Xenopus tropicalis: one gene and its partner. The protein of the gene in region 1 interacts with the protein of each later gene in a biochemical or structural test. Links are inferred from orthologs where the notes say so. Each region holds a gene or a part of one and is shown on either strand. Other genes may lie near its edges.

Region 1 (2,886 bases):
GAAAGAAAAGAAGCTCACACCAATTACCTACCCTCAGGGACTCGCCATGGCTAAAGAGATTGGTAAGAACTGTTTATCGGCATTGGTGTTGGGTTGTGTTTTTTTTTTTTTTTTTGGAGGAGATCATTTCCTTCTCTTACAAAAGGGCTGGTATTGGTATCTTTTTAGAGTAGCATCTGCCTGAGAATTTCATCCATGCATAGCAGTATTTAAAGGGGAACTAAACCCCAAGTCCCAAGTTTTTCTATACAAGTGCAGTATTTCAAACATACTGTAGCCCCTAGCCAGCTTGCACAGTCCCTTCCTTTAACTCTTCCCCCAATCTCTCTTTCTGCAGGTGCTGTAAAATACTTGGAATGCTCTGCCCTTACGCAGCGAGGGTTGAAGACTGTGTTTGACGAAGCAATCCGAGCAGTGCTGTGCCCACCTCCAGTCAAGAAGCGAAAGAGAAAATGCCTGCTGTTGTAATAACTCCCACATGCCATCTTCTATCCCAGCTGAGTCTGCAGGCTCTGATGGGATCATTGACTCAAATGCCAATTCCCGACCCTATTTGTGATAATTCATTTATTGCCTATAAATATAATCTTTGAATTTCTCCAATTCTTATTTTCACCCTCGTTCCTATTAGTGACAAACATTTTTCCTGAGCCCATTTAAATCCTGAATAGCAGCTCAGTCCTCTAGGCCTTATTCACAGTAAATGATCTTTTTTTGCTGTAACTAATCAATTGTTGCCAAATGTTTAACCAACTCATTAATGCGTATAACATGAGCCATCCACAAAGGAACGGGTTTTTTTTTGGGAAAAATGTACCTTTTAGATATGAAGCAGTATGGTGCTTTACTGCTTATATTAAATCCTTTCTTATCCTTTCATTCACTGTATCACACTGTAAATCAACCAACGGCTCCTTTAGAGATGTTTAGAACACAGTGTATCCTCTTACTGCGTGGGGGGAAATGTCATAGTCGGTTTAAGGGTACTAATCTGCTCTTCTGGCTACAATTTGTATTACGATGGAAATGTAACCATAGGTTTTGGGGTTTACTAGTGGAAATAAGTGACAGTATTTAAACATGACAGCGACGAAGCATCAGCTGTAGAATCTCATGACTGCAGTAAGAAGGGTTGCTATAGGTAAGTATTTGAGTTCTGTTGTCGTTTGGTTTTCCTTTACTCATAGGGCATTTGTTTGCACCGTTTTGTTGCTGGGGGTGACCAAACCATCTTCGATAAAGCCATCCAGCTTTAGGCTAATGGACACGGGGCGTGACTGCCTCTGTAATTTGGCTGAAAACCGCATTGGTCCTATCGCCTGTCACTGCTGTCCATAGGGATCTATGGGATGTATGCTGTCTAAAGCACATGTAGGGGTGACATCTGCTTAGACTGTGCTTAGGTCTGCGTGTCACTGCTTTAGGCCTTGCAGTTTCCTTATTTCTCAATGGGAAGCAGTAACAGGCAGAATGAGGGTGTTTTGGGCGCTGCTGATTACAGTAATGGCCTGTGTGCCATAGATCATGATGTAGGATAGGCAGTCTGTGTGCCTTCCAGCTGCTGCAGAATAACCACATCCCTGACAGTAAATACGTAAGAGTTTCTGCTGCAGCCAGAATGCCAAGATTTGCCTTTCCCTGTCCTGGGCAGTTACTGCAGAGATGCTAAATCCAGGGGTATGGGGCTGGCGCCTAGGCCAATGGTTGACACTGTTCGTGTGTACCTTTGTGGCAAGTAACTGTATTGTCATACGGTTTTGCAACTTTGATTCCCACATATCCTAAGATGTACAAGCTCTTCATGGTGGCTTCTTTGTAGATTTGATAACTTGTATTTTATTATCTTTCTGATTATTGTAATTTGCAATTTTGTAAACTGACAAATTAAACCTAATACTGTTTATCCATGTTCCTTTCCTTGCCGGTGTGCGAGCAATGGCCTTCTTCCTTCTATTAACACTAGGTGTAAAAATCATGTGTCACCGGGTAGCAATGTGCGTGCATTTACTCATCCATGTCACCGGCGGTGTGCCACAAAAGCAGGGGAGAAGGCACAGAAGTGGTTAACTCACTCCAGACGTATCTCTGTACTGACAGACCATGATGTAACGCGTTTTAACTTTCTTTTCACTTTTTGTGAAACCTTTAATGCTTTTATTAATCCTGTCCTTAGGTGTGTGAGCGCCTGTTAATATGGCTGCGCACTGCTGAACACTAGCAAGTACAAAACTGAGACAACTTTCTGTCACTTGAACAAACAAGAGAATTTGCAATTGTTACGAGAACTCGTGGACAGTGTTTTTACATTGATCTTTTTGCTAATGCAATTTAGTGTTTTACATGCATGTTTGAATTAATAAATTCTTAAACCACAGAATATGCGCCTGGGTTTTATTTTTCCTTCTGTAGCACCGTGCCTGTGTGACTGGTTTCACTGTGAAAGTTGTTTTGTTGTTGTCTTGGGCAGCTACAATTATCATTTTAGATTTATTGCAGATTCTTAGAAAATATTTAAAAAATCTGTTTAAATAGCTAGCATTTGTACTATATACACAGGTAGATTAAAGCCGACCATTTGTATCCTTCAGACCAAATCAGAAGCTTATATGTCCATGTATAGGTCCCTCCGACAGGCCTCCCCTTACCAATATCTGTCTGAAAATTGGCCAAATGTCAATCAGGCAGGTTTGATTTTCCTGTTGGATTGAGGACTGCATCACCCCTCTGATGGTTTGTATTTCCATCATTGTATTGTGATCATTTGGGCCTAGGGCCAAACGACTTGATTAGCTCTATGATCCTTAGCTGGACATATTGGGGCAGATCTGCTCATTTGGCATGTGTTTGGCCACCTTCACAGGCACTCATTTATTTCACAAATTTATT
Region 2 (3,659 bases), on another chromosome or scaffold:
TAGAATAGGAAAACAAAATACACATCCTAACCTCCTGAGGATACAACAAAAACTGAACTGGGCTCTGCCTGCTGGGCATATAGTCAGTGGAGTAGGAGATGGCTCTTCTTGTATTGTTGTGTCCTGCCTCCTAGTGGTACCAGCTATACTGCACTGTTCCTGTGTCCCCCAAGCAGACAATGGAGAAATAGGCAATTTCAACAGCTGTTCAGAATTTAGAAAGAACATGCAATAAAAAGAGTACTAATATAGTAATATGAGAGCTTAACTAATAATACTGTTCATTGCCAATTGAGACCTAGGTTATTTGTGCTTATGAATACAACGGACTCAACAAAATTAATTTTGTCTTGAAGCTGACCTTGAGTAACTCATCCTCTCCTGCATCAGGAAACTTTTCATGCAGCGTGTCTTTCAGAACCTTGGCTATATAACGCATGCCATAGCTGTGGGGAAATAGATAGTACAGTTAGCAGGACACATAGGAGAGGATGGGCAGGTGGGGAGAAAAGTGAACTAGATTAGGTAACTCACGGTATTTTGTCCACAGAGCTAATGATGGCCACAAGAAATTTGTCTGTCACAGTTCGCATGTTTTTCACAGATGCATCAAGTCTAGACCTCACCTCCTCATGAGACATTGCCTGCTCAGGTGTCACATCATACGGCAACTTACTAAAAGACAAAGAGACAAAAAAATCGACTTTACGGCACTAGTTATGCATCAAGATCCACATTTACATTTGAGGCAGATAAAGATAACAGTAAGTGCAAATGGAGTATGTGTGTATGTATATGTATATATGTATATACAGTGAGGCTTGGGTACACAGCACTGAACTTTTATATAATACAGTTAGCATAATACAAAGGAGTAAGTTTTGGAAAATGTAGCTTAAATAGGCATATAGCTAAATCACTGTGCTACTGTAAATACAGAGAGCCAAAGGGGAAGCCAATATCAGAAAATGTTTGTCTGAGCTGCATGTCTATGTATGCCTAAGCTAAAAGCACAACCCATTTAAGTGAATGTCTGATTTACAATTCATATAGTATACAATTCTAGTTCAGCCTGTGAACTTAGAAATTAGAGTTGTGTAGATATGGAAGACAAGAATAATAGGATATTTCAAGATGCTGAATTGTACTGTAGCCTTAGAAAAAGCTCACCTCGCCTCTCCAGTCTGAGATTCCATCTGGTTGACCCAGGCCTTGTATATATCAACTGGATCAGTTTTGATGTTCAGAGACTTGTCATCCATAATCTCTTTCACCACAGGGGAGAGTATCTGTCTTAGCGCATTTTGCCCACGGGCACCACGATTAAAACTCACCACCATCTTTATAACGGTGGGGTTTCCTGTTACAATCTCCTGAATCTGATCAACTTTAGATCTACAGAGACCAATGAAAACAGCCAGCATTATGTCACAAGGCAATGAATTCTTGCAATGACACAGAAAATGTTACAGGATTATAACACATTTAAGTGCAGTGCTATCTGATTTTGTATAGTCACAGAGAACCATATCTTAGCATATGCAGGAAACAGCCAGAAAATAGAGTTAGAGGGAACATACTCTAAACAGCTACCCTGGACACACACATGGCAAAGTATGGAACAGTACAATAACTCTACACATACACACGCCAACACCAAACAAATAATGGACACACAGAATTCCACAGGGATTCCCATTGACTGCAAGTTTTTACAAATGTGTACTTTCTAGTACGTTGTGCTGCCATTACATACAGCTTGAATTTATGGTTCATACAGAGCCAATACTTTAAAATGAACTTTTGATACTGTAGTTTTAGCAGGATCATTGAAACCAGCAGCTTCCATGAGACATGCATGCAGCATATTGTGTTTATTGTAAACCATATTGTATCTTCATTTTACTTCTAAATGCATTTCCCCAAGTAGACTGAATATATTTTCACAAATAGAAACTCGTACTTAATCTCCTCTTGAAGGGCTGTCTTAAAGAGACGAAGCAGCAGGTATTCCTCCCTTTGGTTGGATGCATAATTATAAAGGGTAAAAATGACAGAGTCCATAAACTTGGTGGATTTATTCTGAGGCATCTGGAAAATAAGCTTGGCCAAGTAGGTAGGGTTTGTCTGTAATGAAAGAAAATAATATGTAAGGTATATTACTGTCCTCTTGCAATGCTCAATTATTCCCCTCTGTCTGCCAAATCCAATGCATATCTTTTAAACTATACCAGAATGTGGCTTCAAATAGTACCAGCAGTTTTGTTAATCATTTCTGGGGTAATCATTTAAATAGAATGGCAGTGCCCTGAATGGTCAGCACAAAATCACCCATCTATGCAAATATCTCTACTAAAGTTCTTAGTCCCTGTCTCAATAACATAGAATAACTTCACATTGGCACCCATAGGCCTGTTGGAATTATTTTAACAGTTTCATATACATGTATTGTGTGGGATGCCCCACAAACATGTATCTGCAAGGGAAGAAAAAAGGGCTAAGAGAGCAGCAAACCTGCATAAACAGCAACACATTCTCTATTCCAGAAACACTTAAGCGGATAACTAGAATTCATCTGCAAAATATTGTCCATTAGCTCTTTCAAACCTAGCAGAAGCATTTAAACATTACAAGAAATTATACTTAGCCTTAATTATCTCTGCTAGATGCCTATTCCACTAATCCAGAATAAAGGATAATGGTGGCACATCATCTTCTTTCCTGTAAATGAATTTCACCCCACAAACTAAATATGGCAATTTAAGCCTAACCTCCAAAGTGAACTCAAATGCTCAATCAAAAGGAGCTGCATTTGTTCTCATTTGGAGCCACAGTTACCTGCAGCAAATAGAAGAGATGCTGGTAAGCTTCTAATTTTTCCCTTTTCTCTTTGCTCAGGGCCTTCAGACCTCCCCTTTGCTTGTTTAACATCATCATATCTGCAAGTTGCTCCTTGTTCTTCTTTGTTAATTTTTTACTATGGGAGACAACATCCTGAAAAAAAGGTATAAGAACTTAATAAGACAAAAAATTTAAGCAAACACAGTAGTGATGCCAACAACATTTCGGTTTTAATTCAATTATCTTGATTCAGTTAAAAAAAAAAAAAAAAAATGATCAGTGTTTATTGAAGCCTCTACAGTCTACAGTTTGTCTCAAAAGGCAAAAAAATTCCCCACACACGCTGGCATGGGGGGAGGGTGCAGGGGCGAGGTGGCCAACTAGGTTATCTAAGGTGCCCGATCGGCTTGGCCCACCCCTGTGCATAAACATACATTTATCACTGAATGTTCTCTGCCATGTAGCTATGCAGTCCACAATATTGGACATATTATATATTAATACATCGGTCATACAGGGCTTAATAAAAGCTTCCAACTCTGCCCCTCCCTTCTGAGTCGGCAATTGGCCCAAGTACTGAAACTGCCCAATCAATATTTGGCCAAAAATCAGTCAGGCATCTAGAGAAAAGGATTGAGAGTCCCACTGGGCAAGGACCGCATAGGCACACTGATTCAATCCTCTCCTAACAGGTTTTTGTAGGCCCAAATGATAATTGCTGGCTTAGGTCTGATGTCCTTGCCAAAAGAAGCAGATCTTTAATCTATGGCCAGCTTCAGGCATTGTCAGAATTGCTCAAGAACATGCATAAGTGGTAT

Evidence for each region.
Region 2: the proteins of rac1 (region 1) and iqgap1 form a complex in vitro, tested with the Homo sapiens proteins (3 studies listed by BioGRID). The link is inferred for Xenopus tropicalis from reciprocal best matches to the Homo sapiens genes RAC1 and IQGAP1.

What each region holds. Positions count from the first base shown.
Region 1 is NC_030685.2:25,471,128-25,474,013, forward strand, and holds the end of rac1 (ras-related C3 botulinum toxin substrate 1), read left to right. Parts: coding exon 1-62; intron 63-337; coding exon 338-468; 3' UTR 469-2,369; downstream 2,370-2,886. UniProt on the Homo sapiens protein: Plasma membrane-associated small GTPase which cycles between active GTP-bound and inactive GDP-bound states.
Region 2 is NC_030679.2:106,860,119-106,863,777, forward strand, and holds part of iqgap1 (ras GTPase-activating-like protein IQGAP1), read right to left. Parts: intron 2,995-3,659; coding exon 2,839-2,994; intron 2,128-2,838; coding exon 1,964-2,127; intron 1,396-1,963; coding exon 1,171-1,395; intron 676-1,170; coding exon 535-675; intron 447-534; coding exon 362-446; intron 1-361. UniProt on the Homo sapiens protein: Plays a crucial role in regulating the dynamics and assembly of the actin cytoskeleton.